Linked DNA regions of Arabidopsis thaliana. The protein of the gene in region 1 interacts with the protein of each later gene in a pairwise test. Each region holds a gene or a part of one and is shown on either strand. Other genes may lie near its edges.

The links.
Region 2: the proteins of RPAC43 (region 1) and AT4G35540 interact in a two-hybrid assay, tested with the Arabidopsis thaliana proteins (one study listed by BioGRID).

The regions. Positions count from the first base shown.
Region 1 is NC_003070.9:22,329,155-22,334,186, forward strand, and holds RPAC43 (RNA polymerase I subunit 43), read left to right. Parts: upstream 1-1,739; 5' UTR 1,740-2,070; coding exon 2,071-2,229; intron 2,230-2,314; exon of another isoform or gene 2,315-2,440; intron 2,441-2,534; coding exon 2,535-2,720; intron 2,721-2,798; coding exon 2,799-2,928; intron 2,929-3,023; coding exon 3,024-3,104; intron 3,105-3,197; coding exon 3,198-3,385; intron 3,386-3,479; coding exon 3,480-3,575; intron 3,576-3,677; coding exon 3,678-3,771; intron 3,772-3,898; coding exon 3,899-4,018; intron 4,019-4,112; coding exon 4,113-4,216; 3' UTR 4,217-4,414; downstream 4,415-5,032. Other genes in the region: AT1G60610 (SBP (S-ribonuclease binding protein) family protein), read right to left, coding at 1-32; RALFL6 (RALF-like 6), read left to right, coding at 4,762-5,007.
Region 2 is NC_003075.7:16,871,663-16,876,106, forward strand, and holds AT4G35540 (POLLEN-EXPRESSED TRANSCRIPTION FACTOR 2), read left to right. Parts: upstream 1-2,172; 5' UTR 2,173-2,276; coding exon 2,277-3,860; 3' UTR 3,861-3,936; downstream 3,937-4,444. Other genes in the region: AT4G35530 (phosphatidylinositolglycan-like protein), read right to left, coding at 263-379, 524-662, 866-920, 1,019-1,103, 1,427-1,618; WOX13 (WUSCHEL related homeobox 13), read right to left, coding at 4,152-4,237, 4,361-4,444. UniProt on the Arabidopsis thaliana protein: Plant-specific TFIIB-related protein that plays important roles in pollen germination and embryogenesis, possibly by regulating gene expression through interaction with TBP2 and the subunits of RNA polymerases. Binds double-stranded DNA in vitro.

The DNA.
Region 1 (5,032 bases):
GGCACAGGGTTATCATTGTTGCCTCCCAACATCTTCTCTAGAGCTTAACCGTTTTATGTGTATATATATACCCGTAAAGAACTGAAACAGAAAAATTACAGTAAGAAACCTGTAGACATACGAAACTAATTAGTTGTAAGATATGAAAGCTCAAATATCTTCAGCTTTTGACATGACGAGCCAAGATGTAATAAGATTTAACTGTCCTAAGCAATACAGATTACAATCCAACTAGAGACAAAGTTGAGATCTTTGAGGAAACTATGGTTCATGATCAACTCCTATGTGATGAACTTTCTTTGATCTTGCCTAGGAACCAAATTTAGAGATCATGGTCAAAGATTCATCTGAATATTAAACCAAGTAACAAAAAACAGGCAAAATAAATTATTATGTCAAAAGTGATAAAATAAGGCAAACCTCTGGAACATGGAAGAAAGATAGCAACTCCAAAGAACAAGACATAACCTAAAGATCTTGTAAGAGAGAAGCTAAGAGAAGATTTGTACCTGTTAGAGATTGCCCATAAAAAAAAATAAACCGTAGCTTCCTTCAGATCCTACAAACCTAAAAGAAATCATTATCACAGGCTCACAGCGATCCAAGTTTGCTTATTTGCATCAATTAAAGTTTAAAAAACAAAAAAAACTGTAAAATTAAGAAGTCGAAGAGAAGCTAAATCAATCAATGAATGATTCAGAATCTTAAGAAGAAGAAGATGGGTTTTGATGATAGAAACGCTTTGAAACAATAAAATCCAATAATTTAATTCAAAGATTTTAAATTTAAGGAGAAAGAAGAATAAAAGAAACGGATGGGAAAAAAGAAAGAATGAAATGAATGATGGAAAGGTGAGAAATCAGCAGAGGACAGGACACAGTTGTGAAGGAGTGGGAGGAGTTGGGTGGCAAAGTCGAGATATTAAAAACAAAACAAAAACTTGAAAAATAGACTCGAAAATAATACTAACATTTTTTTTTTGGGAGATGATGATAACAAGAATAGTAATAGTAACCGGTGGCGGTGGTATTGGTTCTGCTGATTTCCCCGTGAGTTGTGCCTTCTCTCTGGTGTGACGCCATTTTACTCTACTTTTCTCCATTTTCCCTCTGTCCTTTTTCTCCTTTTCTATTTTTTTCTTCCTGACCAGTTCAATTCTTCTTCTTCTTTTTTTAAATAAAGAAGAGTTCAAACTTTTAAAATGGGCAACACTAATTTGTTTGCTAATTTACGATAGGGACCCAATGTATGGTCGTCCGGTTTAGTCTTTTTGTTTTTTATTAGACTAAACTAAATTTGAAATCACATGTGGTTTGTTATTTATCTACTTTCGTGTTTGAGTTGATTGGAACTAGTTTTGGTTTTAGTTTTGTTTAGTTTCTTGGCTCATTCTTCTGGTTATCTTGGTATGCTATAATAAAAAAAATACTGGAGTGAGAACCTTCACCATTATGGGTTTGAACTGCCATAACTAAATTTGGAGAATATGATTATTCAGATCGGGTTTGTTTAGAAATCGACATTTCTACTTATATTTGGAAAAGTTATATAGTAGAAAATCAAACAAAATGTCGAATGTTATATTTCTCGTTTCATGATTTTCTATATATCTCATTTGTTTAATTATAAGACAGATTGTTTAGTTCGTTCTTTTCGTTTACTGTTTTCTCAAATTTGTTTTGTAGATTTTTTTTCCATATTCGGCGACCAATCATATAATTATCTTTTAACTAATATGTGGTTAATTAAAAAATAAAAAAATGTCGATTTGGTTCGGACTTAAGATTAGAATTTCGGTTTGGTGGTAACGAAAATTTTAAAAGTCAGAAATCAACCAAACTCCGGTTGGACGGTTCAGCCGCTTCGGTTCGGACTTAAGCCATGCCGCTATTAGAAAAATGGATGTTTTTTTTTCTAGTATTCACACGTGTCCATAAACCCTAATTTTCCAGTTTTATGAAATTGAAGAACGAAATTGAAGTGAAAAGTGAAATCGTGCAATTTTCATCTTCCTCTTCTCCTTAAACCCTGATTTCGGATTCTCACAATCGAACTTGGCTGCAGAGAAGGATGGGGACTAACGAAGTAACAAGGATTGTGACTGATGAAGAAAAGAGAGAAGCGAAGAACTTCAACATATTTGATCTCCCTGACGTTCCTACCGGACTTCCTCCGCATCTTGAGCTCCAGCGAACTCGCGTTGTCTGTAAGAAGGATTCTAATATTCATGTAAGTACTATTCTCGATCAAAATTTACACTCTTTTTAAGCTATGTATAAGTTCAGCTAACTAGAAATTTATTGGCTTTTCTCAGTGTGTCCCATGTGGGTTTGCTATGTTCATCGATTTCGTGTAGATTTACAGAGTAAAGTTTAAAACTTGCTTGTAGAAAGCTGTGAATTTACTGAGTTTGGTCTTAGCAATTTAAGAAGATTACACTGTGGGTTTGTCGAAATCCGAATGATATTGAGTGATGATTGTTTGAAATTTGAAGTCTTTAATGTTCTTCCCTTTCTTTTTGTGTTTTATTGTAGCCTACGGCTATCACTTTCTCGGGTGCCTATTCCTCTATGGGAGTGGACAACAGTGTGAGACTAGAAAACTTCTCTGAGGATTTCAAAGTTGATGTGATTAGTCTCACAGAGACAGATATGGTATTCGATATGATCGGTGTCCATGCAGGAATCGCTAATGCTTTCCGAAGAATCCTCTTAGCTGAGGTCTGCCCACTGTCTCACTACCTCTGATGAATCTCTGATTATTAGAATCTTTGGTTAATAGTGTTTCTTTGATTACAGCTTCCTTCAATGGCTATTGAAAAAGTGTATGTAGCAAACAACACATCGGTTATTCAAGACGAAGTTCTTGCTCACAGGTTGGGTCTTATTCCAATTGCCGCAGATCCGAGACTCTTTGAATATTTATCTGGTAAGAAATATTCTGTGGAATGTGATCCATCTCATTAAGCATATAAACTCTTTGTGTCACGCTTAGTTTTGTTGTTGTTTATCTTTGTGTCATAGAAAACGATCAGCCAAATGAAAAGAACACCATTGTTTTCAAACTCCATGTGAAATGTCTAAAAGGTGACCCGCGTCGTAAAGGTAATATATGTTCTTTGGTTTGCTCAAGAAGAGTCTTTGTTTTATTGTTAGCTCGAGATCTCATGAGAGGTATCATTTTTTTATTTCTTGAAGTCTTAACAAGCGAATTGAAATGGTTACCAAATGGAAGTGAGCTTATCAAAGAATCTGGAGGTTCAACCACAACGCCAAAAACTTACACTTCATTCAACCATAGCCAAGATTCCTTCCCTGAATTTGCTGAAAATCCTATCAGGCCAACCTTAAAAGATATCTTGATAGCAAAACTTGGCCCTGGCCAGGTACTGTTTCTATTTATACTCTTCCCCTTAATTGTGACATTTTTGAGGACTTAATTCCGTTGAGAGATGAAAGACTTGCATCTTCTTCTTGCAGGAAATCGAGCTTGAGGCTCATGCCGTTAAGGGCATTGGTAAAACACATGCAAAGTGGTCCCCAGTAGCAACGGCTTGGTATCGAATGCTTCCTGAGGTGAGAAGTTCACCATAAGCCTTCTGGGAAAAGGACTTAATTAATTTCTTCTTGACTCGTCCTAGGCTTTTCCGGTAATGCTTTTTGTTTATAATATCTTAGGTGGTTCTACTAAAGGAATTCGAGGGTAAACATGCCGAAGAACTCGTAAAAGTCTGCCCCAAGAAAGTTTTTGACATTGAAGACATGGGCCAAGGTGAAGTAAAAGCCTTCCCAAGTTTCCTTCAAATGTCTTTACTTGCTTTTGAGTAACAATAAGAGATTCTGATGAAACCTGAGAACTTTGGCGGCAAATTAATTTGACTTGCAAACGTGGAAAACAGGTAGGAAGAGGGCAACAGTAGCTCGGCCGCGTGATTGTTCGTTGTGTAGAGAATGCATAAGAGATGGAGTGGAATGGGAGGACCAAGTGGATCTGCGCCGTGTCAAGAACCATTTTATATGTAAGAAAAGAAAAAGAAAAACACAGTTCCTTCAACCTGGCAATTCCATGGTACTGAAAGAGATTCTAATTGAGTTTCTTATCATCTTTCGCAGTTACAATTGAGTCCACGGGATCACAGCCTCCGGAGGTTCTTTTCAACGAAGCAGTGAAGATATTGGAAGATAAATGTGAAAGAGTAATCTCTGAACTCTCCTGAAAAGAGATTAAATTGGTTTAGCTCTACCGGCTTGGTTCCGGTTTAGTTCAGTTTTGGGTTTTGTATCGAAGTTAATACAAAGAACATTGAAATTTATATATACTTGGTTTCGGCTCGGTTCAAATTTAGAATATACATGTGAACGTTGAAGAGTAGATGGATGTACGTACGTACACATTCATCAAGCACTGAACAGAGTGAAGAAACAACAGAACAGATCAATTTTTACAACAACGAAACAAACAAACACTAACGACAACACAGATATTCACGAAAGTCTTGTTGTGGCCGATAAATTTGCTGCCATGCTAGAAACCAACCGAACATATTAACCGAAAAAACTGTAAATGACATATAAATAGCCACGAAACTCTATCAGCACATACATTATGCACTGGCCGTCTTTTTTTTAGAATCATCCTTCTCATTATAAATCAAAGAAACACAAATTAATAATTAATCACGTATTCAAACTACAAAAATATAATAACACAGAAAAATATCAAGAAGTTTCAATTACATTGTTTTTGTTTTCTCAAAAAACAATGGCTGCACACAAAAAGAGTCATATCCGCATTTTCTTTGTTTCAGTAATGATTATATTATCATTGTTCAGCGGATTTGGAGAAGGACAAACATATATAAACTATAATGGTATGAAAGGAGACATAATTCCAGGTTGCAGCAGTAAGAATCCCAAAGAATGTGTCAAAATTCCAGCATACTCTTACAATCGTGGTTGTGAAATCTCTACACGTTGTCAACGTCAACAGCATTCGAGTTCGAGTTAATTGATGTATGATATGTTTAAATCAT
Region 2 (4,444 bases), on another chromosome or scaffold:
TTTTATAGGTTAATAGTACTACACTAGAGAGTTTGTAAGCTGATATAACTCATTGTACTCTTTGCATTCGATTTAATATGTACAAAAGAAAAGTTCATTGACAAATGATATCCAAATGTTCACCACTCAAAGAGTTTTTTTCTTTTTTCTTTTTTTGTGTCAAGTCAATTCTCCCATTACAGAACATATTGTGTGATCATCTTCCAAACAAAACTGCCAACAACAAGTAACAAATCTACAAGTTCTCTAATCACAACTGCAGTTAACTAGATACATCATGTTCTTCTTCAGCTATCGTTTCACTTTGGTGGTCTGTACCGATAGCAGCACACAATGCTTTCCAAATGGGAACCAACATCTTCAATGGAGGACGCAGTTCCTGTCCAAAGAGGAAATTGAACTCAAAATCAATTGCTATAAGTAATATTCCCGAATTGAATAATTGGTAACTCTAGATTGTTTCTCAAAGTTGTCAGCAGAAGTTTTTCTCTCACAATGTAATGAAACAAACTGGTGCCATTACCTTAAACACCAATGTAAGTTGTTCTTCACCACGAAGAAATAAAGAGAGACTCCAGTAACACGTAATGGGAGTGACACATTCGACCAACACAGGCTTCAAAATCTTGTCAATAGGGATAAACCTGGAGACAGTTTTTCCACTGCAAAGCAGAAGCATGCACAAAAAAGTAGGTACTTGTATGATTGGTAAAACTTAAAAGCATAGATCATAATGGTTCATGATAATTACAACAAATTCAACCATTACCACCTATCTTAGAGACCACTAATACGGAGTAGTTCAAAGCATTAAGCCATCATGGAGTGCAGACAACAGAATACTAACTAAATGGATAAAGCATACCTTAAATATTGAGTTTCAAGTTGGATCCCGAAGGTTGGCAAGATTATCACAGATTCTGAAGAAATCAAAGAAAAGCTAGAATTAGTTAAAACGTGAAGCTGATATCATTTGGTAAGCCTGTAAAGCGTGTATCAGGATGAACCAGGATCTCACCTTTCTTGACGAACTTGCGACTATGTAGCATAACCAAGAAACCACTTAAAAGGCAGCCCCAAGAAAGAGTTCTAGCTGGATTGTCCTGTTTCATGTGAATTATCCCTTTCAACTTAAGTGAAGAAGAAACAAATGGAACAACAACAAAACAAGCTTGTAAAGTAACACAAAAAAAGAAAAGTGCTTTTATACAAACCTTGTCATGTATTAACATAATGCTCACAACAGAATGAAAATATCAAACTATACTCCATCACCAATCCTAAGAAACAAAATGGTATGCCTTTCTCATGATATGTACTAGCAACACTTGTTCTAAGCAATGCATCAGAATCACTCAAATGTCAAGCAGATTCACATCAAAATAACAAACGGCAACAACCAAATTTTCTCTAAGAGCATAATTACCTTTCCAAGCAAAAAGTACATAGAACTCGCCAGAAACACAAGGAAGAAACCAAGCCCCCAACGACGGGCATAACCAGTTCCGCTGCTTCCGTTGATAATCACATGGTGAATATCAATGGCTTCTCTAGTTGACTTACTTCCACTTTCGTGTATGTAAGTGTATCTCTTATTCGAAACAGACAAGCTCACCATTTCAAAGCTAGTTTAGTTGAAAAACAGTCAAATGTATCACCGTCGTTTTACTCCCAACTCATATACGAACCTGCCCAAGGTTAGCTTTCTCAATACCCAAGTAACAATTTTCAAACTTTGAGTCTCAGTCAAATCGGATAGCAACAAAACTTCTCTGCGGCTTTCCGTCGAACACCATGCGTGCGTTATAATAACCCCTCTTGAAATCTCATAAATCTCTCTAACTATCTCCACACAACTTCCTCGAAAACACAGTAGCAATCTATCAAAAAGGACGAAGCAAGGATTCACCCAACGAACGAAAGCCACAATTCTTCGAATTGATCAAATCTGAAACCGGCTTCTCTTACCGGTAAAGAGATAAAAGACGGCACTATGGTGGAGGAGACAACAAAAAGCCAAAAGAGAGAAAATAATACAAACTGTGTGGCGTCCTAAATAAAACACCCTGGCGTTTTTGTTTTATTCATATTAACATCATGCCGTTTTCATCTCGACAATATAAAAACCTAGCTTATTTTTAAGGAAAGGTCAAATCTTAATTAGTTTTGATTTCTCTCTCCAGTACTTCTCGATTCGCCGGCGATCCGAATCTCATTCTTCTGCTTGTCGGAAAAAAAAACCCGTAATTTAAAGTGTGAAGCTTTCGGTTTGAATCATGCGTTGCAAGAGATGCAATGGAAGCAACTTTGAACGCGACGAAGACACGGGGAATTCGTATTGCGGTGGATGTGGGACATTACGAGAGTATGATAATTATGAGGCACAACTTGGCGGCATAAGAGGACCTCAAGGTACATATATACGAGTAGGCACCATTGGTAGAGGCTCTGTTCTTGATTATAAAGACAAGAAGATCTATGAAGCCAACAATTTAATTGAGGAGACAACAGAAAGATTGAATCTTGGTAATAAAACTGAAGTGATTAAGAGTATGATTAGTAAGCTTACTGATGGGGAATTTGGACAAGGTGAGTGGTTCCCTATTTTGATTGGAGCTTGTTGTTATGCTGTGGTAAGAGAAGAAGGGAAAGGTGTTTTGTCTATGGAAGAGGTTGCTTATGAAGTTGGATGTGATTTGCATCAGTTAGGGCCTATGATTAAGCGTGTTGTGGATCATCTAGATTTGGAATTGCGAGAGTTTGATCTTGTGGGTTTGTTTACCAAGACGGTTACTAATTCACCGAGATTGACTGATGTTGATAGGGATAAGAAGGAGAAGATAATAAAGCAAGGGACTTTCCTGATGAATTGTGCGTTGAAATGGTTTTTGTCGACGGGGAGGAGACCAATGCCTTTGGTTGTGGCTGTTTTGGCGTTTGTTGTTCAAGTGAATGGTGTGAAGGTAAAGATTGATGATTTGGCGAAAGATGCTAGTGTTTCGTTGACTACTTGTAAAACGCGGTATAAAGAGTTATCTGAGAAGCTTGTGAAGGTTGCTGAAGAGGTGGGTTTGCCTTGGGCGAAAGATGTTACTGTGAAGAATGTTTTGAAACATTCAGGAACTTTGTTTGCTTTAATGGAAGCCAAGTCCATGAAAAAGAGAAAACAAGGGACTGGGAAAGAATTAGTTAGAACTGATGGATTTTGTGTGGAGGATTTAGTGATGGACTGCCTAAGCAAAGAATCTATGTATTGTTATGATGATGATGCTCGTCAAGATACTATGTCTCGGTATTTTGATGTAGAAGGTGAACGTCAGCTTAGTTTATGTAACTATGATGATAATATATCGGAGAATCAGTTGTCTACAAAGTATAATGAATTTGAGGATCGAGTTTGTGGTGGGACTCTTGCGAAAAGAAGTCAGGGAAGTAGTCAGAGTATGTGGCAAAGGAGATCTGTTTTTGGAATGGTGTCAACTGAAAATTGGTGGAAAGGGAAATCGGAATTGAGTAAAAGGCTTTTGCTCAAAGACTTGTTGGAGAAAGATGTAGGGCTTGAAGCTTTGCCTCCTTCTTACATAAAGGGTTGCGTTGCAGTTGAAAGACGAAGAGAAAAGATTAAGGCAGCTAAGTTGCGGATTAATGCAATACAACATCCTTCTGACAATGTTAGTGAAGGTGCGTTGTCTTTGGAGCTTGAACATAGCAAGAAGAAAAGGAAGAAAGGATCTGAAATTGATTGGGAGGATTTGGTTATACAGACTCTGGTCTTACACAATGTGAATGAGGAAGAAATAGAGAAAGGCCATTACAAAACTTTGTTAGACTTGCATGTTTTCAACTCTGGAGAGGTTTGAATTGAAATGTTTTTCTCTTGGAATTTTTTTATTTCTTACAGTATAATTCATTTAAGGATGTAAAAATCGTTCTGAATGCAGAAATTATCAAAGCAAGCATCACAAGACGATTCAACAATCCATGTAAATGTTTCTCTGAAAATGATTAATAAGATAAACTACTTGTTTCTTTAATAAGCCCTGAAAGAAACAATTTAAGAAAAACAAAAGTCTAATACTGCTTATGACTGACTACCAAATCCATTTCATTGATCTCTCTGATAATTAGAAGTTTCCTCAGCTTGTATTCAATCAGCCTGACATGCCATAATCTTCAACATGATCATAAAGGTTGTAACTTTCCGCCAGTCCCATCTTTCCAACAAGATGCTCATCCCCTACAAACACAAATCACAAGAAATTATCTGAGACAGACACAACTTACTTGACTATTTCTTCAAAGCCAATGTCTCTGTTTTTTTCAGTTACGTGTGAACTAAAAAGGTATCTTTGTTACTTACTTGGGTTTGATAGAACATCTAGCAAGTGAAGGTCTGAGCTAATCTCAGGGCTCTGAAAGCAAAGATCTTCAGGCCTAGGAGCAG